7 linked regions of the Sus scrofa genome follow. The protein of the gene in region 1 purifies or fractionates together with the protein of each later gene. This does not show direct contact. Links are inferred from orthologs where the notes say so. Each region holds a gene or a part of one and is shown in the gene's direction. Other genes may lie near its edges.

Evidence for each region.
Region 2: the proteins of EGFR (region 1) and TUBA4A purify together in Homo sapiens (affinity purification with mass spectrometry; 3 studies listed by BioGRID and IntAct, with this or other methods). This does not show direct contact. The link is inferred for Sus scrofa from reciprocal best matches to the Homo sapiens genes EGFR and TUBA4A.
Region 3: the proteins of EGFR (region 1) and UGGT1 purify together in Homo sapiens (affinity purification with mass spectrometry; 3 studies listed by BioGRID and IntAct, with this or other methods). This does not show direct contact. The link is inferred for Sus scrofa from reciprocal best matches to the Homo sapiens genes EGFR and UGGT1.
Region 4: the proteins of EGFR (region 1) and MET purify together in Homo sapiens (affinity purification with western blotting; 6 studies listed by BioGRID and IntAct, with this or other methods). This does not show direct contact. The link is inferred for Sus scrofa from reciprocal best matches to the Homo sapiens genes EGFR and MET.
Region 5: the proteins of EGFR (region 1) and ATP2A2 purify together in Homo sapiens (affinity purification with mass spectrometry; 4 studies listed by BioGRID and IntAct, with this or other methods). This does not show direct contact. The link is inferred for Sus scrofa from reciprocal best matches to the Homo sapiens genes EGFR and ATP2A2.
Region 6: the proteins of EGFR (region 1) and EPN1 purify together in Homo sapiens (affinity purification with western blotting; 3 studies listed by BioGRID). This does not show direct contact. The link is inferred for Sus scrofa from reciprocal best matches to the Homo sapiens genes EGFR and EPN1.
Region 7: the proteins of EGFR (region 1) and KPNB1 purify together in Homo sapiens (affinity purification with mass spectrometry; 3 studies listed by BioGRID and IntAct, with this or other methods). This does not show direct contact. The link is inferred for Sus scrofa from reciprocal best matches to the Homo sapiens genes EGFR and KPNB1.

Annotation. Positions count from the first base shown.
Region 1 is NC_010451.4:139,420,633-139,424,498, forward strand, and holds part of EGFR (epidermal growth factor receptor precursor), read left to right. Parts: intron 1-1,524; coding exon 1,525-1,659; intron 1,660-3,866. UniProt on the Homo sapiens protein: Receptor tyrosine kinase binding ligands of the EGF family and activating several signaling cascades to convert extracellular cues into appropriate cellular responses.
Region 2 is NC_010457.5:121,291,022-121,295,433, reverse strand, and holds the start of TUBA4A (tubulin alpha-4A chain), read left to right. Parts: upstream 1-1,385; 5' UTR 1,386-1,518; coding exon 1,519-1,521; intron 1,522-3,307; coding exon 3,308-3,530; intron 3,531-3,842; coding exon 3,843-3,991; intron 3,992-4,240; coding exon 4,241-4,412. UniProt on the Homo sapiens protein: Tubulin is the major constituent of microtubules, a cylinder consisting of laterally associated linear protofilaments composed of alpha- and beta-tubulin heterodimers.
Region 3 is NC_010457.5:59,262,089-59,266,434, reverse strand, and holds the start of UGGT1 (UDP-glucose:glycoprotein glucosyltransferase 1), read left to right. Parts: upstream 1-1,381; 5' UTR 1,382-1,574; coding exon 1,575-1,632; intron 1,633-4,346. UniProt on the Homo sapiens protein: Recognizes glycoproteins with minor folding defects. Reglucosylates single N-glycans near the misfolded part of the protein, thus providing quality control for protein folding in the endoplasmic reticulum.
Region 4 is NC_010460.4:29,447,253-29,451,118, reverse strand, and holds part of MET (hepatocyte growth factor receptor), read left to right. Parts: coding exon 1-66; intron 67-3,083; coding exon 3,084-3,314; intron 3,315-3,866. UniProt on the Homo sapiens protein: Receptor tyrosine kinase that transduces signals from the extracellular matrix into the cytoplasm by binding to hepatocyte growth factor/HGF ligand. Regulates many physiological processes including proliferation, scattering, morphogenesis and survival.
Region 5 is NC_010456.5:31,681,479-31,685,344, forward strand, and holds part of ATP2A2 (sarcoplasmic/endoplasmic reticulum calcium ATPase 2), read left to right. Parts: intron 1-3,546; coding exon 3,547-3,651; intron 3,652-3,866.
Region 6 is NC_010448.4:59,788,780-59,793,163, forward strand, and holds the start of EPN1 (epsin-1), read left to right. Parts: upstream 1-1,343; 5' UTR 1,344-1,449; intron 1,450-4,384. UniProt on the Homo sapiens protein: Binds to membranes enriched in phosphatidylinositol 4,5-bisphosphate (PtdIns(4,5)P2). Modifies membrane curvature and facilitates the formation of clathrin-coated invaginations. Regulates receptor-mediated endocytosis.
Region 7 is NC_010454.4:23,914,409-23,918,778, forward strand, and holds the start of KPNB1 (importin subunit beta-1), read left to right. Parts: upstream 1-1,374; 5' UTR 1,375-1,871; coding exon 1,872-1,911; intron 1,912-2,013; coding exon 2,014-2,072; intron 2,073-4,223; coding exon 4,224-4,370.

The DNA of each region.
Region 1 (3,866 bases):
CCCCGTGCTCCTCCCCAGTCCCCCGTGCTCCTCCCCCAGTCCCCCGTGCTCCTCCCCCCAGTCCCCCGTGCTCCTCCCCCAGTCCCCCGTGCTCCTCCCCCAGTCTCCCGTGCTCCTCCCCCGGTCCCCCCGTGCTCCTCCCCCGGTCCCCCGTGCTCCTCCCCAGTCCCCCGTGCTCCTCCCCCAGTCCCCCGTGCTCCTCCCCCAGTCCCCCGTGCTCCTCCCCCAGTCTCCCGTGCTCCTCCCCCCGGTCCCCCGTGCTCCTCCCCCCGGTCCCCCCGTGCTCCTCCCCCGTCTCCCCGTGCTCCTCCCCCCGGTCCCCCCGTGCTCCTCCCCCCGGTCCCCCCGTGCTCCTCTGCCCTCTGGGAGCTGTGTCCTCCCCAGTGCCCTGGAGACTCTTCCCAGCAGAGCCCTCCTTCCACGGCCCCTCCGCTGTGCGATGCTGGGCAGAACTCAGGCATCCGCAGGAGAGGCGCAGTCATTGCATCAGCTCAGGTAGCGCCTGTAAACCGCTGGTGCCCTCCTGCTGGGGGTGGAGGCCCTCCGCGGATGTGAGGTCACTGGATGACCCGTCTCCCAGGAGCCAGCAGAAATCGTCCATCTTTGCAGACCCCATGGCCCTCCCCGCCGTGCTCTGTGTGCCTGAGTCACTAGGCAGATGTTTACATAAATGTCACAGCTGGAACAAGCCCTCTGCTCAGGCTCAACTTTTCTTATCACTCCTGACTCTTCGCACCATCAGCTCCTTTGAACAGCTAACTGTCCTTTACGCCTTTGCAGCCCTGGTGCCTGATCTATCTAGGTCACAGATACTTTTTTTTTTTTTTTTTTTTGCCATTTCTTGGGCCGCTCTCGTAGCATATGGAGGTTCCCAGGCTAGGGATCAAATCGGAGCTATAGCTGCTGGCCTACAACACAGCCACAGCAAAGTGGGATCCGAGCCACATCTGCAACCTACACCACAGCTCACGGCAACGCCGGGTCCTTAACCCACTGAGCAAGGCCAGGGATCGAAGCTGCAACCTCATGGTTCTTAGATTCGTTAACCACTGAGCCACAGTGGGAATTCCTGGTCACAGATACTTCTTGCCCCCTCCACCTCACACCCCTTTCTCCAATGAGATGCCACAGAACACCTGCCAGCATCTCCCTGTCCCTGCCCGCCCCTCCCATTTGCCCTTTCTCATCTGCATCACATAGTCATTCCGGGCCAGCCTCCCCGAGAACCACCAACTCACTGCGCACTCATCACTTATGCTAAGAGGCTCAAGCACTGGCCTCCTTCCTCCCTACATCCCTAAATTCTGGCCGTGCGTCGTTCAAGGACCCGGTGCAAGGCCATCGTGACCCCTCCGTGGAGTGGAGCCTCCAGCTTCCCTCTCACCCCCCCTGCCGGGAGTTCCATGGGGAGTCTCCATGCCAGCTGCCATCCTTGTAGCCGAAGGCAAACTGGAGAAATGCAGGCATATTTCACGAGTGTTTAGAAGGGGGGCACGTTTTCTCATGGGGTCCTTTCTCGCACAGAGATCCTGCAAGGCGCCGTGCGCTTCAGCAACAACCCTGCCCTCTGTCACGCGGAGTCCATCCAGTGGAGGGACATTGTCAACAGCGACTTTCTAAGCAACATGTCCATGGACTTTCAGAGCCAGCTGGGCAGCTGTAAGTGTTCCCCAGAGCCGCCAAGGTGGGCAGAGCGCGGAGTGCTGGGGTGGGTGTCGGAGAAGGCTGAGTTAATGCTGAGTTACATTCATCTGAAAAGTAAGTAGTCAGCAGATTGTCTGCTTGCTGGAAGAGCACCTGTTTTAAGATAGAGGGTCAGTTAGCACCCTTGCTGGCAGACCACCCCCAGGACAGCTGAGCCGCTGTGTGGCATTGAGAAGAGCCTGCCAATCAGTCATGGCCCTCGATGGCTCCCCCATCCTGTTGAGGAGGCCGATCAGGCTCTTGTGTGTGTCTGATTTGCTTCTGAGCCTCTGCTTGGCACCAAGCCTTCTAGAACTGTGGAGCTGACCTCTGCCCTCCTGCTGGGGGGCCTGGGCTCCCCTGCCAAATCGGGGAGCGCACGAGGATGAATTTGTCCACATGCGCCTCATGCCACTGTTCACTGTCAAGCAGCCCACGCGAGGGAGAGGCTGGTGGAGCCAGGCTGCAGGCCAGGGCTGCCCAGCCTGCACTGTTGGCGGTGCTGGGGGCTCTGAGAACACCAAGCCCCCCTCAGCTTGCTCCCTTCCAGCTCTTCCTGGCCTTTCAGTACTTGAAAATCAGGAGCCATCACTGTTTCTCACCTCTTTGCTTCCTAGGACCATTCCAAGAGATGCATGGGTTTGATTGGTTTGTTTTTTTTTTTTGGTCTCAGAATTTGGAACTGATATCGATCTTCAAAATCAACTAGAGCTGCTCTGTTTTGGGGGTTTTAAAAATTTGGTTGATGACTATGATAAAATTTCTTAAAATAAAACTTGCCATTGTAACCATTTTTAAGCATGCAGTATGGCAGCATCAGGTACATTCACACTGTTGGGCAACCATCACGCCATTCATCTCTTTTCATCCTGCAAAACTGAAACTCTGTCCCCACCAAACAACAACGCCCCAGCCCCTGCATCCGCCATCTCTCTGTCTCTGTGAATTGGACGGCTTGCATCGCACACCGTTTGTCCTTTTGTGACTGGCTTCTTTCACTGAGCACAAGGTCCTCCAGAGCCGCCCAAGCGAGAGCAGGTATCAGACTTTCCCGCCTTGACGTGGCTAATAGTCTTGCACCGCACGGACACTGGTACACGCACTCTGGTTTGTCCATTCACCTGCTGGGAGCACTTGAGTTGCGTCCATCTTCTAACAGTCGTGATGAAATGCTGCCATGAGCATGGGCATTGAACCCTTTTGTTTTGCGAAGATATTCTTCCAACAGATACCCAGTGTGGCACCCACCATGTCTGCAAGGAGCTGAAAGCTTTATTTTACAGGTCAAAATTTTGTGTTATCCAGAAATCAAGGTTAGCCTTTCCTCAGCTGTCTGATGGATAATGGAAAAGTTAAATTGTGTAGATTTATAATGAAAAAATTGACATGGCACGGCTTTGAAGTTAATATGGGTTTGCCGTGGACCAGATCAAGCAGCCCAAAGGGGTACACCTGGCCTCCCTGCCCAGTGCTGCAGGAAAGCCCTGGCAAGGAGGTACTGAGAGAGAACAACGGTGGACAGGTGTATGCAAATGTTACACAGCTATGAGCCGTAAACCAAGATAGTTTTGGTTTCAGAGTAGACATGTAAGAATAAGCCATAGAGAGTTAAGAATGAGACAATAAGAGAGAGTTCCTTTGTGGCTCAGCAGGTTAAGGATCTGGCATTGTCACTGTCAGGGCTCTGGTTATGGCTGTGGTGCAGGTTCAGTCCCTGGCCCAGCAACTTCCATGTGCCACAGGTGCAGCCAAAATTAAAACAAAACAAAACACAACACTTAAGACAGTAGGAATAAGCCTAACTCAATCACACGTCCGTAAAGAGGTAACATTTCAAACAAATAAGAAAATAATTCATTATTCAATAAATTGCTCTGGAATGATTTAACTACTAAGGGAAAAATATCAAAGGACGGAACTCAAGTACTTTTTTAAAGGAACTGAAGATATGAGGTTAGTCACACTGGAAATTACAAAACTGCCCTTCAGCTGCCACCTGTACTTTCCTCCTGAGCGACCTGATCTGCGACAGGTTCAAATCCCGCCCCACCCCATGGAAGGAGAAACCGCACCCTCAGCTGGTGCTTTTCAGGCCACAAATAGCTTCTGAGAACTTGTCTCATTTCATATTTACCCCCAAAAATCTCATAGGGTGATTTAGGTATTTTATGGACAACAGATTG
Region 2 (4,412 bases), on another chromosome or scaffold:
GCTGCATTTCCCAAAGCAGCCTCATTATATGCCCTTGCCAGTTTTCTTTTTTATGAATGTCTTGTTCTCCCAACCACATGGCAAGTCTACTGGGAAAAAAGACTTTGTCATCTTTCATTGCATCCCTTGCTACACCTTGCCTAAATAAGGTGTCAGTCAGCTATTTTGTTGGTAGAAAGTTGCCGTTGTTAGTTATTTTATCCTACTATGCTGTATACTCACCAGCCCTGGCCCTAAGAAACACTGTGATAGGAGAAGCAAGTGAGTCTTTTTCAAGTGACTAGTCTTGGAGACAGGTTTCTTAAGGATGTGCCAGTAGGCATATAGGGCACTTCTGATGACTTTCCCAGTGAAAGGAGACAGCTAGGAAATGTAAGGCACACAAAGGAAAGCAGACATAGATTGAAAAGTCCATTCCTGCAAGAAACAGAAATGAAACATAAAAAGAGGGAAGAGCTTCAGTGAAGACGTCCACCTGAGCGATGAGGGTGTTGAGATGCAAGTCACAAATCCTGCCCATGGTTTAGGGACAGAAGAGGATGGTAAAATCAAAATCAACCATAATGTCAGAATCTCCATTTTCTTTTTTTCCTCCTCAGAGTCAACAAACATTGTGCTATCTCACGACAACGCGTTCTGGGCGGAATCTTGTCTCCTCTTCACCGGTGAAGATGCCAAGGACTCGGTGAGGTTAAGTCACTTGCCCAAGGTCATATAGGGCTCCAGCAGGAAAGCGGGCAGGTGGCCATGGCGAGGCCCAGCTAATAGTGACGGCTCTGATGACGGGACCTCTGACTCGCTGGCAGTCGGCTAGCACTGGCAGATTCTGGGGGTCGGCCCTCGCTGACAGATTGTGGGGTCGGCTCTGCGGAGCAGCCGGAAGGATCGGCAACCTGGGGCTCAGGCTGTGCAGCTCCGGGTCCTCAGCCGCCCACAGGCATCGGCGAAGGCCAGCGGTCCCCGCCGGGGACCATCAGGCCGCGTGCGGCTACAGAGGGATCCTGGGGGACGGGCCAAAGCCAGGCAGTCGGCCGGAGCCTCCAGGGAGGCGGGGCGGGGAGGGCACTGGCGAAGGCTGGGTGCAGCCACTTTGGAAAAACAGCCTCTACGGCACCCGGCCTAAGTCAGAACACCTGAGCGACAGACGCCCGCATGATGCAGGTGCAGGCGAGACACGCCCTGGCACCGCGCCCAGCGTCCCAACCGCGGAGCTTGGGAGCTCGGAGTGTCGGCTCAAAACTAGGAGGGAAGGGTTAAAGCCCGGGTCGCTACTCCTAACCCACGTCCGACAGGTGAGCAACGCGGGCACGCTGAGGGGAGGGGACTCGCCGGGGCCCAACCCCTCACGGCCGCCTACCCTCCGGGGGCGGGGCCTCTGGGCCGCCCAGCTATTAGTGGGCGGTCGGAGCGCGCGGGCCCGCCCCCCGCGTATAAGAGCGGTGCGGCACTGCAGCTAGCGCAGTTCTCACTGAGACCCGTCACCCGGACTCTACGTGAGACCCACCGCCCGGACTCACCATGGTGAGTGCGGCCCCGCCAGCATCGTGCCTGTCCCACAAGTGTCCCCTCTCTTTCGGGGACCCTCCCTCCCGGGATGCTCGGGGCCCTCCATTAGGAGTTCTAGGTCTTGCGGAGGTTTTTTTTCTGGGGGGGGGTGCATTCTTTCCACCCCACCCCCTCCCCGTGACTTTGGGTGGGCAGCGTTGTCCACTTTCGGAGCCTGGGGAAGGAGGTGGAGTGGGGTGGGATTCTTCACTAGCAAATAGGAGTCCTCTGGAATCTCCTTCTGCTCTGCAAGCATTTGTGCCCTAACCCTCCTGGGGGGAGTCACGAGGTCCCGCGCCCAGTCCTTTCTGCCGGCGAGGGAGACCCGTTCGGCTGCCCTCGGCTCCTAGCCTCCCACTCACTCCCTAGTCCCTGGAACTAACCCAACACGTGCTCGGGGCAAGAAAGTGGAAAGGGGTCAGATTACCTGGTCCACCATCACCTTTTCCTCCGACTACGTGAGCATCCCTCCTACCCTCATGCCTCCCACCCGTGACTCAGCACCCCTCTTCTGAGCCTAGAGGGGTGGCAAGAATGGGGTTCGGCCTCGTGAGGCGAGCCGGACTCTCTCCAACAGGAGTCCGGGTGCGCGGACGGGCAGAGACAGCTGGCGCTGAGCGAGAGCACGGGCCGGGGCCAGGTTGGGGGGAGGGGAAAGAGGTGTGTGTAGGGGGTGGTATTTATAGCCCAGGGATGGGGGCCGAAATCCAATCCTCGCTTTCCGCTGGGATGTAACTTGGAAAGAATCTTAAAGGAGTACGAATGCAGGGCCGGAGTGCAGGATGGCGCTCACCCTGTCCAGGGCCAGGCGGGTTACCTCTGAGGCCTCACCGCAGGTTCCGCTTCCTCTTCTGGGTATTTGGAAACCGTCACCCCGCCATTTCGGTGTTGAAAAGGGAGGCTGCGCCGGCCCTGCAGCTGCACCGCTTTGGTTCTTCAGAGGTTAATTTCAGACTGGCAGGGATGAGCCTAGGGCAGCGAGGGCCCCAGTGCCCACAACCCTTATTGCGGGTGCCTGCCGTTTTTTGCTCTCTGCAATTTCAGTGCCTGCTCCGCAATGGATGAAGGTGGTGAAGATACCCAGAGTGTGGGGGTGGAGGTGGGGAGAGCAGCCAGATGGGATTGATCCCAGAGCCAGATAGGATTTAAAGTGGAGGAGGGCATCCTGATGGCTCATGTGGTCAGTTGATGCCAGACTGGAAGGCTGAGACACCCCTGCAGCCCGCAAGAATGAAAGGGGGCGAGGGTTATATGACATCCTAGTTGTTCATCCTCAAAGCAAAGAATTAATCAAACAGGGGACTTCTAGCTACACACATTCATAGTTCTGGAAGACCTTCTGTCTCTTCTGTTGAGAGCTGGTTTGTGGGAGTAGGAATTGGGAACAGCTGAAAGATCACTTGTCCTTGTCTCAGTTACTGCAGTGTTCGCCTGTTTCCTATGCACTCGCCCTCTCCGTCCTCCCCGAGTGTCCTATGAATGTGGCGGGAGCATGCGGAGCCCTAGCTCTTACCTGACAAGGTCCCCACGGAGAAGCAGGCTGAGGAAGTGGCCTGCCCTACTGGGTGCCCCTAGTTGGGAAGTCTTATGCAGGGGAGCCTGGGCAGGCTGCCAGCCTCTTCTGACCTCTGCCCAGCCCCAAGCCTCCACTTTAACCAACTGAGTCATCCAAACTGGTAGGTGATAGGGTGGGAGAAAGGCTCATGAGGTAAGGACTTCTGTATGTGGGGCTTATGCCGTGTCCTCCCTCTCTATCCTTCAGCGTGAATGCATCTCAGTCCATGTTGGGCAGGCAGGTGTCCAGATGGGCAATGCCTGCTGGGAGCTCTACTGTCTGGAACATGGGATCCAGCCGGATGGGCAGATGCCCAGTGACAAGACCATTGGTGGAGGAGACGACTCCTTCACCACCTTCTTCTGTGAAACTGGTGCTGGAAAGCATGTGCCCCGGGCAGTTTTTGTGGATTTGGAGCCCACCGTGATTGGTGAGAGGAAGAGGGGGGTGGAATGGAGGGAATGGAAAGTGACTCTAAGCTTCTGTCTAGAGTGAGGGTGTCTAGACCTGGCTTTCCTGGCCCTGAAAACCCCTTGCCCTGCTAGACACTAAAGAAGGCAAGTTGATAGCAGACTGGCTGGGCAGCAGGTCTGGGTTTCTCTCACCCACTGCTATCTCAGGCTGGCAGAAGCATGAGCTCTTCCATACATCTGACCACAGCTGCCAGGCTGGGGGAGGGGGGGTCTGTGCTGAGCCCCGCCTTGTGGTTTGTGCCCTAACGGTGTGGTTTATGTCCTTCCAGATGAGATCCGAAATGGCCCCTACCGGCAGCTCTTCCACCCAGAGCAGCTCATCACTGGGAAAGAGGATGCGGCTAACAACTATGCCCGTGGTCACTACACCATCGGCAAGGAAATTATTGACCCGGTACTGGACCGGATCCGCAAGCTGGTGAGAATTTGGGATGGAAGGGAGGGAGCTCTTGAGATGATGCTGGTGGTCAGAAACAGTTTTTTTTTTTTTTTCAGATCTGTTTCATGGGGTCATCTCTAATTGTACATGTGCCGGAGTCTGCTATGGCTATGGAACACTCATTAGTCTTACTTAGCCTTGACTCCTGAGGTGTTTTAGGCTTTTGTGGAGCCAGAAGATTTCCTCAGTGCTCTCCCCTCACCACATTGCTCTTTTCTTGCCTTTCAGTCTGATCAGTGCACAGGACTTCAGGGCTTCCTGGTGTTCCACAGCTTTGGAGGCGGCACCGGCTCTGGCTTCACCTCGCTCCTGATGGAGAGGCTCTCTGTTGACTACGGCAAGAAATCCAAGCTCGAGTTCTCCATCTACCCCGCCCCGCAGGTGTCCACAGCCGTGGTCG
Region 3 (4,346 bases), on another chromosome or scaffold:
TAAAATTGCACTGAACTTTCTGAGAAAAATTTAGCGAAACAGAAACTCAACTTTCTTAGAAATTCTGTACTATCACTTATTAACTAAGCAAAGGTTGGTGGTGTTTATACATCAATAGCAGAAGACCAAGTTAAAACAGAGAGTGAAAAGCTCTGTAAAGTGGTGAATTAGAAAACAATTCTTGGGAGTTCCCATCGTGGCTCAGTGGTTGATGAACCCAACTAGCATCCATGAGGACAAGGGTTCCACCCCTGGCCTTGGTCAGTGGGTTACGGATCTGGCATTATTATGAGCTGTGGTGTAGGTCACAAACGTGGCTCAGATCCCAAGTTGCTGTGGTCTGGTGAAGGCTGGAGGCCACAGCTCCTAGCCTGGGAACTTCCATATGCCGCTGGTGCAGCCCTAAAAGACAAAAAAAAAAAAAAAAAAAAGAAAGAAAACAATTCTCTTTTTTTGTGGAAAGCATCACATGAAAAGGGGCAAAAAACACACAATGGACAGCCACTAACACAAAATCTCCCTCAAGAAATAAACTTAAAATGGTCATTTCCAGTTCTTAAAATTATCTGCACTCCTTTTATTCCAGCAAGGAACTGAAAACCCAACAGTCAGCTAGAGGTTCTTAAGCACAGTACAAATTGAGGGGGGTGTTTTAGTCCTTGTTCTGTCTGGCATTCTCAAGGGAAGGACTGTACGCCACAATCGAGTCAGTTAAAATTGTACACTTTCTTAAATTACTTTTTAATGTACTTTTGGTTTCTAGTTCACTTTATTAGTTAAAAAATACCCTCCAAAGATGTATTCATATCTGGCGGCTAAAATGATCTGCCCAATGTCACATATGCTAAAACAATTTTACACAGATTTATATTTTCAAAAAAAAAAAAAAAAAAGAAGCAAAGGACAAAGTAATCATTGCAGATTAAGTTGCCACTGACCGTATAAAATAAGCTAAATCGTTTCATAAAATTTAAAAAAATCTTCCTTTCCCTTGCTCCCTGGAACGAAAGCTATCGAAATCTAAGGTTTAAAATAAAGTCGAAGATGCTCAAAAACATTGTCACTTTGTCCTTTACTGTGCAACAGCTTTTTTAATAAAGGGTTTAAGGAAGTAGACTTTGAAGCTCCTCCGAGTCCCAATCTGCAAAAAGTATGAAACCCCTTTCCGGTCGCACCACGTGGTGAAGCTTTTGGGTCTTAGCTGCCTGCCTAAACAACGCCCCAGGACTTGCAGACCCGAGCCTCCGTGGCTATACTAAACAGCTGGAAGCTACAAAAGAGGCGTGGCCTTCTCGGATGTAAGATGGCGGCCGCGCGACGCTCTGGGCGGTCCCCGCCGTGACTCAGTAGCCGGAAGTCCTCCGACTCCAGCCAGTAGGAAGCGGAAGTAAAGGGCGGTCGGCTGCTGGTCTTTAGCTTTGCGAGGCCGGCTTGTGAGCCGAGCCGCGGGAAAGGCGCGTGTCGGCCGCTCACTGGCGCAGCTGCTGCCCTCTCCGCAGCTGCCCCGCCCCACCCCGCTCCACCCTGCTCCGGCCTTGTCCCAGGTGCCGTCGCAGACGGAGCGCGGCCCCGGCATGGGCTGGAAAGGGGCTGCGGGCGGCGCGTGTGCCGCCGCTGCGCGGCCGGTGACAGGTACCCCTTGGGTGGCGTGGGACGGTCTCGCGGTCAGGAGAGGGTCTGGGGCACGAGGCGATTCCGTGTCCCGGTCACCTTGCGCTTCCGTTTCTTCCCTGACTCAGTTTCCCCTCCCGTGTCCCAACCTTCCCCCCTCAATGCGAGTGACCCGAGTTATCCCTCAGTGTCTTCTGGGCAAGGTATCGTTTGTGCGAGGGTAGCCGCAGGCTCTCTCTACCCCTTTGAGCCTTCATAGAAGAGCTTGGAGACCCATGTGCTCAAGTGCAGACGCAGGTGGGGGAAGTGCCCTGACATGCATTTAGATTAAGCCTGACCCTAAGTAGGTTGAGAACCAGCAGTTTGCAGGACCCCGATAGGAGAACGAACGGAACTTTTTATAGATTTCTCTTTTCCCTAAAATGAATTCAGGTGCTGAATATAGGTTGCCGTTTTCATTTAATACGAGGATCCGTTGGCTGGAAATTGGATGATCCGGTTTCACTTTTAGTGTGGGACCTGCCAGAGGAGTAAGATCTGCGTACATCGCCAATAAGTTATGGGTGTGAACTGTTCATGTTCTTTGGCCAGAAACTCTAGATTGTTTTGCATTTCTTGCCAGATTTGAGAACTAGCATATTTTGTTCATTGGAGGTCGTGGGGTCTTATGCCTTCCTGTGCTACACTATTTTGGAAAAATTCATCATGCGCTTGGCTGTCCAATTGTAGTGTGATGTTTGAAGACATTTTAAATAGCTATATGACAACACTACAAAATTTGGGATAATTATAGCCTTTCCATTTGACTTGCTTTTGATGAACTTAGCTGAAACTCATTTTTATTAAAGGAAATAAACATTGCTTTGTACAGTACCATGGCGTCTTCACAATGCATGTTTAACTTGAGGGAAATAAACTGGAGAAAATTCTATTAGACTTTTTCTCCAGTTACTGGTGGTCGTTTTCATATCAGATATACAATATCTCTTTTTAATTGGAAATTAGGTGTTTTTGGTTCAGGGCAAATGAGTTTTGCTAAAAGGTATAAATGTATATTAAGTTTAATTATTTCAGAAGTAAGTTTATTTCTCAAGAGTGAGTACTTCCTAATATTTTCCCTCGCTCTTGTCATACATGTTGAAACTCAGATGGCTGTTTTTTTACTTGGAGGGTGCAAGTGGTTTTTTTAAAATTTTATTTTAAAGCATTTGGTAGCTATTTTCTTCAACTTAAAAATGGAGAAAAAAGATTGGTACTGATTAGAATCTTATGCCTCTTCTGTTTTCCAAAAGTGAAAAACATTTGCCATAATATAACTTTGATAAGTATTTCTGATATCTTACTGTAGATAAATGAACATGGGATAGTATCTTTAATTTAAACTAAAGAAACTGGGCCACACACTCAATCTTGCAGATGATACATTTGGGCCCAGAACTTATTGAAGACTTTTTAATTTGTCCATCATGGCATAAGCATTATGCCTATGATTATGCAGTGCCACATTGCAGATTCTGACAGCTGTCATTTCCTAGACTATTCCTTTTTATAAGCAACCTTTAGTCAGGACCACTAGGGTCAGGTTGATAAGGGGTCTTTTAAAAGGAAGGTATCCTCAAACAAAAGGCCCCTCGGTGAGGTTCTTACCTTCTGCTCCTCTGGACAGCCTTTTCTTCTGGTGTTATCTGTGGTGTCAAGGATGTGGGGTCTGGATGGGAAAATTCTTCTTCAATGTATAGCTTTCTTCCCTTTCCCATCTCTAATGGTGCTATGCTGTGTCCGAAGAACTTTCTGTCTCTTTAAGACAGAGCGAGGGGATCTCTGGGTGAGTCATGGTGCTTATTGTTTTCATTTTCACTCTTTTTAAGTCCTAGGTTTTCGGTAGCATCTTTGCTTGTGGTGCCACCTTCCACTGGCTTTCACTCATCCCTTAATGAACAGTCTGTGTTGATTTTATTTTCAGTGCCTCCTGTGTTCCAGGCATTTTGCTAGGCATGTGACTGTGGCAGACAGAACTCTCTGCTCTGGAGGAGATCACATTTGGTCCCCAAAGCCAGCCCAAGTGTGGATCTGTCAGTGGTTGCTAGATTTGGTTTAGTCCCAACTTCAGACCCACACTGTTAGTGTTAAGATTGAAACTCTAGCTCTCTCACCCACCTGAGTCTGAAGGACTCTGCCTGTAGAAAATCCTTGGACTTACCTTGGGTCTCATAATAAAGCCCTTTGCTATGTCTGGGTCTCCACAGGATGAATTCTCACTCCTTCTTAAAGCCGGAGAACCAGGGCAGATAGCATGCCATTGGAGAACTTTGGAAAACAGGCAAATGTGGGTTCCAAGCATGGCTGTATATTATTTGGTCAAGTAACTTAGCCTCTCTGAGCTTCCATGTTGTTATTTTTAAAGTGGAGATGCTCCTGTGTCACCATTATGCAGCCTATTTATGGACCATCTGCTGTTTGCCAGGCACTGTGCTGTTCGATGTGGTGAACAGAGTGAACAAGGCTGCACCCTCAGGAGCTGCAGTCTCCTGGGCCATCATTTGGAAGGGCGGGGAGCTGGTGTTTGCAGAGCACTGGCAGTGGTGCTGCCAGGAGTGTAATTGCTCTGTAAATGCGGGCATTTCCACGGGGCCTTCTGACACTCTCAGTCCCCTCCCCACCCTCTGCATGCAGTGTACCCTGTAGTAGCATCCCATTTTTCATCCGGGATCAGTCAGCACTGTTGGGGGATTATA
Region 4 (3,866 bases), on another chromosome or scaffold:
GTGTAAGCCCAACTACAGAAATGGTTTCAAGTGAACCTGTAGACTACCGAGCTACTTTTCCAGAAGGTACATTTCAGTTTACTGTTCTGAAAAATACTTATACATACACCAAAGTAGATTGTAGCATTGTTGTTTATTTTTGGTTTTGCCTTTATATTTTTATAAAATTATAAAAGAAGTGTTCACCTCTTCTTTGGCCAAAGAAGTATTTAATTTGATAGAGTTACATTGCTCTTATTCTAAAATGAACTCATTTATATATTATATGAGATTTTTAGAGTCTTTAAGCTCTGTTCTCACAAAAAGGTTCACTTTAAAATTATTTGTGCAAAGGTAACGTGTTTTTCATATGAATGCGATGCTAAGCAGCTGTGAAGCTCATTTTAACAACATAGGAAGAGTTGAGATATGAAACTTGTATTTATTGAAATAGAAGTTGGTACTGCCACATTTTTTACCTGTTGATCCTCAAACATTTAAATTATATCTTTAGCACTCCTTTGAAGGCTTCTCAATGAACTCTTAGTACTCAGCCTTTTGCCCGCATCCCAGAGTTGAATATATTTTGAATCTCATCCAATAAAAACCTTCAGTTATGCTATTTAAAATGGAAGGTTTAGCATCATCTGTTTGGCGAAACACTAGGCCTAATAATGGTCAGGTTATCCAGAGCATTTCACATTGTTTTATTTAAAATCTCCTGGTAAAAGCAAAATGTCTGTATTGTATCTGCTCCATTATCTTTAGAAGTTACAGGACGTGAGTCAAGTACAACCATTTCCCTGGTTGAATATTTACCATTGGACAAATAAAATGAGTCACAAATGGTTGAGGATACTGGAAAACTTAGAAGTTGCTCATCAAAACAAGTACAAGAGCAATGAGGCACTTAACATTTTAACTTTTTCAACACTTATTGCCGCTTACATTTCCAAGTTTATGTTAGTTCTATAGAGGGTTCTATAGATGCTGTTAATAGTATTGTCTTTTCCCACATGACTCCACTCACCTTTCAGAATTCAAGCCCTTAACAACATGGACGAATCATCCAGTTTACAGTTTTGAAATTTAGACCTACTTATTATTTTATATTCACATTTAACGGCTCTAATCTGAGATCTTTAAAGTTCAGAAGTAATTTTTTAAAAGAAGCATACTAAATCTTCCTTCAGCCTCATTACCTGCCAGACCTCTGTCATCATTGCTGCTAAGAAACTTGACTTTCATCTCCTTTCCTACATTGAACCTACATCTTGAAGACATGGAAAAATAAAATAGGCAAAGGAAAGGCATCCAAAGAGAATAATAAAGAAATGCACAGCCAGCACCTAATAAAGAGGCACCTATAGAGCTTCTCTCTATATGTGATGGGGACAGCTTCCTTGTCAGTCTTTCATGCAGACCTAGACTTCTGTGTGTTACACCAGAATCATACATTGATGGTTTAAATTGGTTTGTGCTCATACTTGAACTTAGCCCAGAGGTCAGTAGAATTTCCATGCTAGAGGACTTTTTCCTGTGCCTCATCAAGGCTATCCCTCAATCTCTATCTATACCTCTGAGAATTTAGAACCCTCATCTCTAGGTGCAAAGGTTTGAGAAATGAAGGTAAAGAAACTGAGTTTAGGGAGGCTCATCTGCATTTCCATCCCCTGGGGAAGTTTCCAAAAACCTGGCTCTGGTATTAAAGGAATTGATGCCCAGCTAGGCTTCTTCCTTCCCTTACCCATTCAACATCTCAAGCACTCCCCTGATGGTCTCCATCCTTTCCTTAAGGTTTCATCTGTCTAATTTCCAGCTAGTAATTACTATAACTACAGGTGGTCCCAGAGCTGTTCTGGGAGGACTGTTGAGATTTACTGCTGTAAAATTGATATTTTAACCAAACCATCCAATCTGGAAAATACTAAAAATGCTTAAGTGGGGTTAGGAATAGGCAGGGTACCATCAACTTTCTTTTTATGCCCCTTTCTTAAATTCTGATTTTCCTGCTCATTTACAAACAAACAATATTTTCTTTTGGTTATGGGCCCCCTGCCCAAATAAGCTTCTCCCCTCTCCTGGCATTATATACTAATACATCTCAATTCCCATCCCAGTTTATCTTCAAGTCAGTTCCTGCAGACATAATGTCCTTTCTTTGACATGTACGGATTCCTAGGGAAAAGGGAGAAGCAACTGGTGGTTTCTCTGCCCTATTTGGCATTAAGAAATTTATTCTCAGCCCCACAATTCCTTACCCCTGAAATGGAAAAATTCACCCAGCAAAAGGGAACCTTGTCTGAGGCTCTTAGAGAGGTTTGGTTATAAAGATAAACTAGTAAGGAATGCTAATCTGGTCCCTCTCCAAGTGCCCTCAACTAAGCAATGAGAAGAGAGCACACTAACCCAATTCTAACCTGCTTTATCTAGGTAGCAGTAACACTAGATATACTGCTGTCACGACATGATGGAGAATTTACCCCTAATGGGAAAAAGTTTGACTCCTGAAAACTTAGCCATTATATATTTCTAGTCATTTGTGTGTATGTATATTTATATACAGTATATAATATTTCACTATACATATTTTTCTTTGGCCAGGAATCCACATAGGTTTTGAGCAATACTAATTAATTCCATTAATAAACACTTATCTCTCAAAAGGCTTCTTTTTCATTTTCTTATATTTGTGTTGAATTTTTGTCACACAAGCTAGTAGCTTGACTACTTTTGCTGCCTTCCACTGTAAAGAACATAGTATATTAAAAAACAACCCCCAAGCTTAGCTTTTAGCTATATATTAAAAGAGACATGTCTAAGGAAATGAAGAGGGAAAAAATCTTTTAAAGTTACTACTTAATATACTTAAAGGAAAATCGATAAGTATTTTTTTAAATATACACATGTATCTTTTCCCAGTTTATCATTTTATTAAACCAATTCATTTGCAAAGGTCTTCCTAGCCTTATTCATTGATAAAAACACTATTTCTTTAAACTTGAATTTAAAATTTGGTTTTGCTCTTAATTTACTGCCACTGTTAAAGTCTCTCCTAAGTGAGATTTCACTATTGTTTCTAATAATTTTGCTTTATCTTGCAGACCAGTTCCCTAACTCATCTCAGAATGGATCATGCAGACAAGTGCAGTATCCTCTGACAGACCTATCCCCCATCCTAACTAGTGGAGACTCTGATATATCTAGTCCATTACTGCAAAATACCGTCCACATTGACCTCAGTGCTCTAAATCCAGAGCTGGTCCAGGCAGTTCAGCATGTAGTGATTGGGCCAAGCAGCCTGATTGTGCATTTCAATGAAGTCATAGGAAGAGGTAAGTATTTCCACTCAGCTTTTTGTTAAATACGATTTTCCAGTAAGCATTTTATCTTCTGCCTTTGCAGATTAGGAATTAGACAATGGCAAAAGCAACTGACAGAGCAGTGATAACAAGAGCACTTGATTTCTGTCTGCAGAAATACAGCCCTGCAAATCACATCCATGGGGATTTGCCTCTGTGCATGGAGACAACTTGATAATCTCCCAAATGTATTTGAAATGAATCACATTCCTTCCTCACCTTTTTCATAATTACAACTATAGTTTCTTGAAAGGTGCCTTTTACTTCTTTCTAAAAACCATTCTGTTAAGTTCCAATATTTTTACTTATATCTCCTTCCAATCTTTCTTTACCCTGAGAATAGTGACTAATTCTAAGAAACCCTGGTTTATAGAAGTTTGTACACTGCTGAACGCCATCAGAAGACAGGGAATTTATAGCCTTCCCTTGATCTGAAGCAACATACATCATCTCTACAATGCGCTCCAATTTCTTTATACAAAGAAGAATGACTATTTGTAATAAGGCAGCCAGAGCAGCATAGCA
Region 5 (3,866 bases), on another chromosome or scaffold:
CATCCTCATGGTTACTAGTCCGGTTCATTACCATTGTGCCACAACGGGAACTCGTGGAGTCTTTTGTTTGTCAGCATCATCTTCCCATTTACCCAAGAGAGGTTTTCTTTTCAGTAGGACAAAACCATGAAGGATTGTACAATGTGGTTTGAACATAATTCACTGGATTCGTTCTTAGCAGTAAGTGAAGTACAGTTGATCTTCAATTTGAGTTGTAGCATTTAATTCTTAAGGTTATTTGTGAGGTTTTGGGTTTTTTGTTTGTTTTTTATGGATGCACACACAGCACATGGACGTTCTCAGGCCAGGGACTGAATCCAAGCCACAGCTACAGCAGCGCTGGATCCTTTAACCCCCTGTGCCTTGCTGGGGATCAAACCTGAACCTCCACAGGGACCCGACCCACTGCAGTTGGATTCTTAACCAACTGCACCACAGCGGGAACTTGCATTTGTGGGTTTAAATATAGATAATTTTTGGAGTTCCCTAATGATCTCATGGTTAAGGATTTGGCCTTGTCACTGCTGTGGCTGGAGTTCTGTCCCAGGTCTGAGAACTTTTGTATGCTATGGGTGTGGCAAAAAAAAAAATTTGTTTTTATTTGTTTGTTTGTTTACTTTTTAGGGCTGCACCTGTGGCATGTGGAAGTTCCCAGGCTAGGGGTTGAGTTGGAGCTGCAGCTGCCAGCCTGCACCACAGCCACAGCAACATTGGATCTGAACTTTGCCCCCTACACCACAGCTTACAGCAATGTTGGGTCCTTAACCCACTGAGCGAGACCGGGAAGTGAACCCTCATCCTCATGGATACTAGTTGGGTTCATAATCCGATGATCCACAATGGGAATTCCAAGAAAAGGATTCTTCTTCTTTTTTTTTTTTTCCTGTCTTTTGTCTTTTGAGGGCCGCACCTGCAGCATATGGAGGTTCCCAGGCTAGGGGTCTAATCAGAGCTGTAGCTGCCCACCTACACCACAGCCATGCTAGATCCGAGCCATGTCTGCGACCTACGCCACAGCTCATGGAGGTGCTGGATCCTTAACCCACTGAGCGAGGCCAGGGATCGAACCCTCAACCTCATGGTTCCTAGTCAGATTTATTTCCATTGCACCATGATGGAAACTCCAGAAAAGGATTTTTTTTTTTTTTTTTTTTTTTTTTTTTTTTGGTCTTTCCTGGGGCCGCACTCGCAGCATATGTAGGTTCCCAGGCTAGGGGTTTAAGCAGAGGTGTAGCCGCCGACCTACACCACAGCCACAGCAACACCCAACCCTAGCCGCATCTTCCACCTACACCTCACAGCAACGCTGGATCCTTAACCTAATGAGCAAGGCCAGGGATCAAACCCACAACCTCATGGTTCCTAGTTGGATTCATTAACCCCTGTGCCACGATGGGAACTCCAGAAAAGGATGTTTTTTAAAGTAGTTAGAAAATTACTAGTTGTCAGTGTTTAATAGGTTCAGTTCTATCCTTCCAGGCTGAGAGATTTGTCCTCTAGTATCTCATCAAGCAGTAACTATACATTCAGTAATTCTACAGAACCTTCAAATAACTATGCATTCCTGTGTTTCTTACACATACACATTTTAAAATTCATATTGGAGGAGTTTTCCATTGTGACGAAGTGAGTTAAGAATCTGGTGTTGTGTGGTATAGGTCCCAGCTTTGGCTGAGATTTGATCCCTGTCCCTGAGAATTTGCTGCAAATGCAGCCAAAATAACAATAATGATAATAATGCAGTGGAAGAAAAGTCTACTACATTGTGCAGGTGAGGGTTATTGCATTATTGATGAATACCACTTGTGCAGATGAACCACACATTTCATGAAAAGTAGAGGTTTGCTTTGGTAATCCTGTCATGCTTGCCTTAGTCTTTTCCTTTGCTCTAGCTGGTAGGGGATATTGCTTTAAGTTTGTTCCTCAGGCTCAGCTGCCAAGAGGGAAATTCATACCCACTTTAACAAGGTGTGAAGCTTATCTTACAGTTGCTAATGCCTCACTGACCTTTTGAAAAGGTCTTAGTTATTCTTCAAGTTGAGCAATTTTTCTCCCCCAAGAGCTAATTAAGTTTCTTATTTCTGATATGCTCTCCTTGGCAAATATTTGGAAGGCTAGTGTCAAAGCAGCTGTGATCTTGCATCTATCAGTATTTATAACTTCCTAGAGAAGTTTTTATTCTGGCATTAGGCCTAGCCTTAACACCAGGAATGCCCTGTTGAAAGCTTTGAGCAACATTTATATTCATTCTGGTTTTCTGCCTGCCCTGGTTCATTAGCTGTTAGCAGTGATTGGCATCTATCAGGACCTAGTTCTTGTGTTTCCTGGTTTTTCTCCTGCTTAAATTGATCTTTCTTGTGTTGGTGGTATAGTCGTGAGCATACCTGCCCTCCAAGTTGATATTTCTTGTTAATTTATCATTATTCTCTTTTACTTCCAAAATTCAGGTTGGGCCTTGCCTTAATCATCTTTCTGGTTTGCTGTTTGTGTCAAAGCTCACTTTATAGTATTCTACTAAGTATAAAAGTAGTCAGATGGCTTCATTATTATTATAAATCATATCTGACAATATTAAAGAGTATCAAAAATGGTGCTTCCATTGTTTACTGAATAGATCTTTTAAAATATTTTATTGTGAAATATGCAAACATCCAAAGCAATGTTAAAAGGCAGAGGCACACACATCTTACCTCTCAGGTTGAATCCATTAGATATGTTTAACGTCTTTTCTGGATTGGCAGTTTCCCACAAAAATTGGTTGTTGAAATTTTAACCATTTATATGCCTCTTTTAACATGTTTTTTATTATTTTCAGATACACCGTGTTAAATTCTTTCTCACAATCTTAGGCTTGCTCAGTTATGAAGTACAGTGTGACTCTCAACTTGTAGCTTTTAAATCTGAAAGTTACAGTTGTGTGAGTTAGAAGTTAATTCTTTGTTCATTTTTCTTGGGACAGTGTTCTGGGCCCAGTTGTAACATTTTGGGGCTTTTATATCCTGAACTGTTGTATTGATACACTAGATGTCATAACCTTCAAGAGAGATTCCTGATCACAGAACAACCTTGCAGTAACACCACTGAAAATAAGTGGGACATTAACAGTTTATATATCTAATTTTGAGTCAATGGTCAAATTGTTTTTGCTATGAATTTATGCCATGTGAGCATTTATTTGATAGGAATGTTAATCAAATTAACAAAATTTGATTGCTTTTTACTTTAACAAAATCAGGAATGTTTTCTTTATACACATATAAAATGAATGGGGTTTAGTTCCCCAAAAGTACTTGTTTAGGATTTTAAAACAATTATTACATTAAAAAAGGCTCTTAAGGATATTATTAAGAAGTTTATAGTTTTGAGTCTTAAGAATTATTAGGAAAAAGATATGTGTTGTTTATGTCATTACATTTTGCTACCATTTGTTTCTAAGGATGGTAAGAAAAGAGATTTTTTTATCTTGTAATTGTTTCATGCCGGCCACTTTTGTTGTAAAAGCCTAAGAACATACCACAATTCTAATGTGTGCCATTTCTCTTACAGGTTTTGGCTTGGTTTGAAGAAGGCGAAGAAACAATTACAGCCTTTGTAGAACCCTTTGTAATTTTACTTATATTAGTAGCCAATGCAATTGTGGGTGTATGGCAGGTAAGAAAAGTTCCTTCAATGCTAAATTTTGATAATATGTAAGTATTTAAACTTTGTTAGTCTTTCTGTTATCTGTTTTTCCTGCTATGTTGACTAAAAATATCTGTGGAACTAGATGTGGTTTTTTTGCCTATTAGTTTATGTAGTGTCAGTTTTATCCCTCTCATGCATACATACTTTGCTGTTAAAATTGCTTATCCTTCATGGCAGCATGA
Region 6 (4,384 bases), on another chromosome or scaffold:
GCGGGGGAGGGCAGGGGCAGGGCTGGCTGGGGGCTTCTCCCCCTCCCGCTCCCCCTCTTTTCCCCCTCTGAAGACCATGGGCAGAGGAGTGACAGCCGAATGACAGAATGACAGCCTGACAGCCGGCAGCAACTGGAATGGCAGCAATTAAGGGTGGGGGGTGGGGTGGGGCTTGGGGCGGGGAGGGACGGGGGAGTGCTCACACAGGCCCACACAGATACACACACAGAGGGAAGGGGGGGGCGGGGTGCGCAACAGGGCTGGGTCGGATCCCCACGGCCCCTCTCCGAAACAGTCTTTCCTCCCTTACACTCCCTTTCTCTTCCTCCTCCCACCGTAGAAACGTAGCGTGTTTATATTTTATGGCCAAACTATTTTGAATTTTGTTGTCCGGCCCCAGTTACGCTGCCCTCTCCCCTTTCAGGACCACAGCTCCCGTCCTCTTGGCCTCTGGTCCTCTCCGCGGTGTTGTCCTTGGTTTCTTATGTAGCTGATTCTTTCCACTTTAGTTTCTCCAGACCTGCCCCCCAGCCCCGTCACCCCGTCCCTCTCCTACTCTCTGTGGCAGTTTCATATTTGCTAAGACGAATTTGCTCATTAAACATTTTGTTGTATTTTACTTTATGGAGCTGCTCTTTGTCTGGTGTATGTAACCCCCACCCTTCCATTTCTCGGGGTTCCTTTGGCCTAGGCTGAGGCGTCGGTCCCGGAGGCCCGGCAGTCCTCAGCGTCACCCCGGCCACGACGCCCCGGCGCCCTTGGCACGCTGCAGGTGGCACACCCCGCCTGCGTGGCCTGCTGGTCCAGGAGGACGGTGTAGGGCGTGGCCCTGGAGAGGAGGGTGCCGAGCCCGCCTGAGGTGGCGGGTGGCGGCGGCGGGAGCCGTCTGGGCTCGTGGGCCCGGAGCTCAGGTCGCCCCGAGGGTCCGGCACTGGCGTGCGGGGGCGGTCTGGGGACAGCGCGGCTTCCCGGTTCGGTCGAGCGCGCCCGGCGGCCCCGCGCTGCGCCCCGCCCCTTTCTGTGCGTTCCCGGGGTCTGGAGGCTGCGGCGGCAACCGGGCGAGTGGCGCCTGACGACGAGGTCAGCGCGCCGGAAGTGACGCCGCGCGGCCAGGTGGGGGCTGGGGGCTGGAGTCTGCGCAGGCTTGCCGCCGCAGAGGGGCGACCGGGCGGGTCGAGCAGCCACTTCCGCTTCCGGTCCATCGCCTTCGGTTGCTTCCCGTCTGTTCGGTGGCTCCCCTCCCCCGCCCGGCTCTCCGCGCCCTTCCCGGGCGGCGGGGCGGCGGGGCCGTCGGTGTGCGGTCTTCCGTGTGTCCGCGCGTGCGTCCAAGCGCGGCTCCGCATCCACCGCCCGCGGCCCGGCGCGCGCCCAGCGACACCGAGGCCGAGCGGGGGCTGGCTGGGGGGCTGCCCGCCATGACCCCCCGGAGCGCGGCTTGAGGGGGCCCAGGTGAGTGCGGGCGGCGGGCGGCGGGCGGGCGCGCTCAGGCGTCTCCACGGTCTTTGTGTGTCTGCGCTGGGCCGGCCTTGGACCGCCCGCGGCTCCGACTCTCCCGCGTCTCTGTCCGCGCCTGGGCCTCCCGCGGGCCTCCGCCTGGGCCTCGCTGCCGCTCGGGTCCGTTTCGGTGCTTTTACACGGCGCTGTCCTTGCTTGTCCGTGTCGGGTCTGGTTCTGCGTTTCTGTCGCATTTCAGCGTGTGATGGGCAGGATTAGTGTCCGTGTCTAGGCTCCGCAGCTGTCTCCGCTCTGTCTCTGTGCATCTCCCCCGGCCCGCCGTCTTCCCCTATTACTTCTGTCCTGGTACTCTTGTCCTCCAACCCCGACTCCCTCTCCGGGGGGTCTGTCGCTTGGCCTAGGATAACCCCTTCCCCTGGGTTCTTGAGTTCCGAGTGATGAAGAACCCGGCTGTGGAATCAGAGGCCCATTTTTTGTAAGTCTGTAATGTTTGTCTGGTAATTCATCTCCAGGCCACAGTTTCCCAGTCTTTAAAGTTAGGGTATTCAGAGTTCCTACATAATAGGGCTGCTGTGATCATTCACCAAGGCAAAGTGCCCAGCCCTTGTGCATAGTAAGTGTGTGGTGAACTGCTGGGAGCTCTGGGTTCCGTTATTATTACTTACAGATTTTCTCTTGCATACACTTAACGTGGGTCATTGGAGCACCCCTTGGAGAATTTTGCGGTATCGCTTGTCTTGTATTTAGTTTAATAATTATTTTTGGGTCAGCTCATTTTGGAAAAACCTGTTTTCCTCCTACATAGTATCTGTGGAGTCTTAGGTTTGCCCTGTCAGTTGAATGTTGCTTCAGTACACTTGTATAAATACACGATGTTAAGATACCACATTTTTTGATGCCTCCCTTTTGGAAATACTGTTTTTTTTTTTTTTCCCCTATTAAAACAGCAGCCAACATTATTGAGCTCCTGTTATCTGTGGGGCGCAGTGCCAAGCACTTTATGTACCCATTGTATTTAATCAACAAGCCTGCCAGGTAGAAATCCTTTCCTTCATTTAAGAGTTGAGCAAACTGAATCTCCAGAGGGCCAGGATTTCATGTTCTTTCCTTTCGCTCCCATTTTCCTTGTCTCCTTTTTCGCAGTCCCAGCTTACTGCCTCTTTTATCTTCAGGGCCTCTGTCCTTGCTCTTTGCCTGCCTACCCCGCTGTCTCCCCATGTTCCTTTATCTGTTTTCCTGTGTCTTTTGTCTGCCCAGGCTTCTCCGTGCCTCTTTCTCCACCTTCATGCCCTGTCCTCTTGGTCTCCTGTTCTGTTGGTCACATCAGCTCTTGTTGCCAGTGTGTCCGGCTGGGCCTGTCTTAGCATCCAGGCTGTTGCTTTTCAGCTGTTCACATCTGTCTCCAAGTGCCTGGCTCTCCTGCGGTCAAGGCAGGGGCCAGCTGCCTCCCCTGGGACTCCGGTTGGGGGAGGTCTCCGTCTTGGGCTAGCATGTTGGGCGAGTCCGTGGATGGTGTGTGTGCCCAGAGCCTGCTGGGATCGAGGCCCGTGAAGCAGGGTGAGGGGCGGACCACCGTCTGCCTCGTTTCCTCCCCTGTGAGGTGTGGGGCGGAGTTACGTCTCCAGGTGTGAGGCACTGAGAGGCACACCTGGCGCAGGCAAAGGGCTGTGATGACCTCACTCGCCTGACCCCTCCTTTGCCTTCTGTTTGTTTCCCATCGCCTTCCTCTCAGCACAGGTTAACTTAGACGTGTGTTTGGGAGCCACGCCGGCCTGGAGTTGAGTGTGCACTGCCAGGCCTAGCGTGTGACCTTGGTTGGGTCATTTAACCTCCAGAGCCCCATCGCCTCCTCTGTTCGAACCCTACCCGCCTGCTGTGTTTAATGAGATAATGCACGTCTTGTGCTCTTGCTCCCTGACCGCCTGGCACCAAGAGGGCGCCCGGCCCGTGGGCTGTGCTGTCCTTATCTCTCCTGCCCTGAGCCTTCCCACCCGTGGGACCCCCCGTCCCTCTGGCATTCCCTCCCATCCGTCTCTGCTCCCCTTGTCGGCCTCCCCCCGCTCTGTGTGTCCTTGTTTCTACAGTGGGTTCTGCCCCCCAGGCCCTGCTCCAGAGGTCTTTCCTGTCCTGCCTCCTTCTCTTCCTTCCTGTGCTGTTTATTGAGTGGCTCTTCCGGGCCAGCTCCTCTAATGGGAAAAGCCGTGTCCACAGCCCCACAGGGGCTCTTGGCGCGGCTTCAGCCACACAATGAAACGGTAGGAAAATCATGAGGAAGGAGTTCCTGCTGTGGTGCAGTGGAGTAAGAACCTGACTGTAGCGGCTTGGGTTCCTGCGGAGGCGTGAGTTCCATCCCCCGCCCGGTTCAGTGGGTGAAAGGATGTGGTGTAGGTCTCAGCTGTGGCTTGGATTCAGTCCCTGGCAGGGAACTTCCACATGCAGAGGGTGTAGCCACTTAAAAAAAAGAAAAAGGGAAGGAAAAGCACAGGGCGACTGAATCTGCTGTCAGGGTGGCCCTGGGAACGACAGCTGCGGTGTTGGGGTGGGTCAGGCCTGGGAGGTTTCAGCGGAGTCCTGTGGGTGAGTGGGGGGGCGAGTCCCCCGTGAGAGGGGGAGGAAGAGCGTGGGGACTGCCTCCTGACAGCACCCCCCCCCCCCGCCACCCCTCGGATCGCCGGCTTTTCTTCAGTTCTCTGGTTACGGAACGCAGCCCCATTTCCCAGAGGAGAAAACCGAGGTGCAGGAGTTGCTGGGCTGGGAGGTGGCGAGCCCCCTTGGGCCTGCGGTCAGCCCCTGCGTACTCCGCCTGGCTCCGCGGGGCCTCAGGCCGGAAGGAGCCGGGCTCCTTCCAGGAGCTGAGGGATGCCTGGGGGCCTCGGGCGGAGGTCAGCAGGGCTGGAGACAGGACCTCGGCCTCCGCCCCGCACGCGCT
Region 7 (4,370 bases), on another chromosome or scaffold:
CGGCAACGCCGGATCCTTAACCCACTGAGCAAGGGCAGGGACCGAACCCGCAACCTCATGGTTCCTAGTCGGATTCGTTAACCTCTGCACCACGACGGGAACTCCAGAACTCAGATATTTCTGATAGAGAAAAATGTCTTTTTTTCTTTTCTTTTCTTTCAAGGATTAAAGGTAGCTGGCCAGCCTTTCCTAATTTTTAGTTGGAACTTCACAGCAAGGCCAGAGTTGCTCTTAGGTTTTCCCAGTATGGCTAGAGTAGGGCAATTATTTCAGAAGCTCGAGCTAATGCAGAGAAGAGATCTGTCAGCTAGCTACATTCTATTAACCCTAGGTCAATATGGTGAAAATGTAACCATTCAGCAACTTCTTCACCTGGAGCCCATTCCCAATCTAAAGGGAAGTCCAGAAATTGTATGCACATTTTGCTAAGGAAAGGCTTTCATTAGTTTGTCTCAGGGCTTATAACTAAAAAAAGGCGATCTTTTAGGGCTGTACACACATTTTCTCTGGTACACGGTTGTGCCTTTATAGAAAAGGTACCTTCCAGGGTGAAACATTTCTATTCCTTCAAGTACCCGAGAGCTTATGGATGAGGGTTTAAGGGGAATCCAAGTGTCCACCCCACGTGTTACGTCTCACAACAGCACAGGCCTCAAACTATACATATGTCCAAAGGGACTGCTTTTGCATTCACCCCCTTGGAGGTGCTGCGTGTAAAAGCCACGGTAGTCTGGAGTGCTTGAGTCCAGTCCCAACCAGGCCACTAACTGGCTGAGTAACCTTGGACAAGTCGCATACCCTCTCTGGCCTTCAGTTTCCACATCTGCAAACTGGAAGTTGAACGGCATGGTCTTCAAGGTCCTTCCCAACCAAGAGTCTGGTACCAAGTAGGCCTAGCCATTAAAGCAGCTTCCTGTGGGTGCGGTGCAGTTTTAACGGTCCCCCCTCCCCCGCTCGAGCCCGCGAAACCCTCTTTAACACGCCCCTCCGAGTGACGGCGCTTCCCAACCTCAACCCGGACACGGCTCCGCCCCTTCCCGGGGGCGTCCCATCGTGCCCCGCGCTGGGCTTCTAAAGCAGTGGGGCACCTCCCGCCTTTCCGCGGCCCCGACCCCGAACTCTTCTCCCCAGTTCTCCCGGGTGCCCTATCCTATCAACGTCTAATAGCCCAGCCAATCACGCGGGCCTACAGTCTTACCTTCGGTCCACCCTCCTCTCGGCGCCCAGCCGGCCTGAGCTGAAGGCCTTTACCAGGCCAACCCAATCAGCGGCCGGCTCTGGCCTGCCCCACCCCAACCTCCCTCCCCTCGGCCAATCCACGCGCTCCATCCCACTGCCCGCCCAGCCAACCCGGGCCTTGAAACCAGCCGGCGAATGGGCGCAGGGCGGCCCTTCAATGCTAACCGCCTGGCCAATTGGGGATTCCGCGTGGCCACGGCAGTGGCCAATCGACATGGAGCGCGGTGCCGCCGCGGAGAGGTCCGGCCCGAATATCCCTCCGCCTTCCTCCCTCCCTCTCTCTCCCTCCCTGCGAGCCGCCGTTCACTTACCGCCTCCCTTCCCTTCTTTCTCCCTCCGCCACCCGAGCACCAGCCGCGCTCAAAGCTGCCCCCGGGGTCCCTCCCCCGCCGCCAGAGGAGCAGCTGCTGCCGCCGCCAGCAGCAAATTAGGAGGGAGGAAGGAAGGAAAGGAGGAAGGAAAGGGAGCTGGAGCGACTACCAAGAGGGAGCCAGTGAATGGGATTGTGGTGACCCCCGCCCCCCACCCCACCCTCCCTTCCCACCCGACCCCCAACCCCCATCCCCAGTTGGAGCCGCCGCCCGAGAGGCCGGACAGCAGTCTTAAGAGGAGTCGCCGCCACCACCTCCGCCATGGAGCTGATCACCATCCTCGAGAAGACCGTGTCTCCCGGTAGGACGCGGGGGCCGGGGGTCGGGCTGAGGTGATTGGGTGGGGGGAGGGGAAGCCCTGGCCCCTCTGACCTGTCCCTTTTCCCACTTTCCTTCCCCCCAGATCGGCTGGAACTGGAAGCGGCGCAGAAGTTCCTGGAGCGTGCGGCCGTGGAGAACCTGGTGCGTGCCACCCCGCCGTCCCCCATCCCGCCCGTCTCCCCATCCCCTGCGTGCGGGCCTTCCCGCCCTCCTGGAGGCCCAGGCCTCGGGAACCCACCCCGCCCCATCCCGTCCCCCTCCCCCTCCCCCGGTCCAACCTAACCCCTCCGTCGGGAAGCCGGTGGGTGTGTCCCGCCCCGGGCCCCGGCACCTGGCCAATGGCGCGGCGCGCCGGGGTGACTGCCGCCCAATCGCCGCGCGGCCTGAGGGCGGCGGTGCAGCAGGAGGGAGAAAGAGCGAGGGAAGGGAAGTTAGGTTGCGCGGCGCTGCGTGTTCAGCAAGGGTGGGGGTGGGGGAGCCGGGCCTAGGGGCCATGTGGAAGCTCCGAGCCCCGCTGCCCGTCCAGTTCGGACCCCGGCCTCCTCCTCCTTCCTGTCCTGTGACCCCTATGATTCTCTCCACCTACTTCCCAGAGCCCTACCCATTCCCTTCTCCCTTGGTCTGTGCTCCTGGCCAGGCCTGCACCCAAATCCCTTTTTACCCATTCCGGCAATGTTTTTCCCTTTCTTGACGGGTTATTCCTCTCCAGGGGAATTTTTTCCCCCGGCCCCGATCAATAGAGACTTCATCTGCACCCAGATAACAGGCTGAGGCTTATCCTTGAGATCGGGCCTGTTTCCAGAGGAAATCATAGAGGAAAGTTCCTCGTTTTTCATGGTTTCAAATTTAGGGGGTACAGAAAAAAAATGAGTGTTAAGTCCACTAGAGACTGGACCTCTGTATAAAATCGAGAGATGGATTGACTGAAACAGCCTATGTGCCAGTAATATTTCTCCTTGGATTCCCTCCTCCTGTTGGGGGGTGGGGAGCAAAGAGAACGGTGGATAATACGTCTCTTAAAGGTAATAGGTAATAGATCTAAATAACACTGTAACCAAATGTGTTCTTTTGTGTTATCTAGGCAAGCCAAAAAAAAAAGTGACAAGGCGTTTTTTTATTTTCTACAAACTGCCTTTGAATTGTCTTGGATTTTTTTTTCCCCCTTACACGTTCTGGTTTTTACCATCAACCTTTTTATACTTAGCTTTCCATAGAAAAGATTTTTATCTACTAGCATAGACCCATATTTCCGTTTAATGTGTATTCCTGTTTCTGCTTTTGCTAAAGTAAGACGGCTTTCATCTTATTCCTAGCATTTTATCTTATTCCCATCATTCTTAACATTCTTTAGTGGTACCTAATTAATAAAACTTAAGAATTATCTTCCGCTGTAACTGCAGAACTTGTTAGTGGTAAGAAACTATCTGCTTTTGGTTTTTCCTGTTAGCTTTTCCATTGGAGAGAGCTTTTTGTGGGGAAGAAGAATGTGTGTTAAACATTTTAAACAAAAATAGTAGTTTTGGGGGCCTGTGCAGTACGAAAGATTGACTATTATTTTCAAGAATCCACTGTGTTTGGTGAACAACTGAGAACCAAAACGAATAGTAACCTTTAGTGTTTTAACTGTTGACTAGTAAACATAAAATTATTTTCCTTGACATTTTTATTTTCTCAGTTGCTCCCTATTTCTAAATATTTGTTAGCACATTTTCCTTGTAATTTTTTTTTCATTATTAGTCTCTTGCTGAGACACTATAAAATAGAGACAGCTAGCCTCCTAAGCCTGTGTTTTAAAGTTTTGAAGTACTTTTCTCTCTTCGATAAGATTACCTGCTTCCATGAGATCCCAAGCCCCCCTGAGTATCATTCTTTTTGGGTTAAGATGTTTTTAATCTAAAACAATTTTTTCTACTCTGTTATAACATATTTATGTAACAAAAATAATTTACGGAGTACCAAGTACTGTTCTAGATACATAGAAGAGTCTTCTGACCACCAGATTGCCAACTTGCTTTAATTCTGTGGAATTTAATGTGAAGATTTGGCACTCAGAATGATGTTAATAGGAGAACCTGTAACTCCGTGTTTAATGCTGAATCTGTGTGAGAAGGAGGATGACGTCCCTATGTACTAAGTAACATTTTTATAGGAGTCTTGAAGTAGATATTTTGACATTTTATGAGACATTATAATGTGTCCTTAAAAACTTGAGGTTTTCCCCATTGTTTCGATGCTTTCTTCCATCGGTGAAATTCCTAAGAGACAGTCTTCTTTCACGTCTTCTCATAACAGCCCACTTTCCTTGTGGAACTGTCCAGAGTGCTGGCAAATCCAGGAAACAGTCAGGTTGCCAGAGTTGCAGCTGGTCTACAAATCAAGAACTCTTTGACGTCGAAAGATCCAGATATCAAGGCACAGTATCAGCAGAGGTGGCTTGCT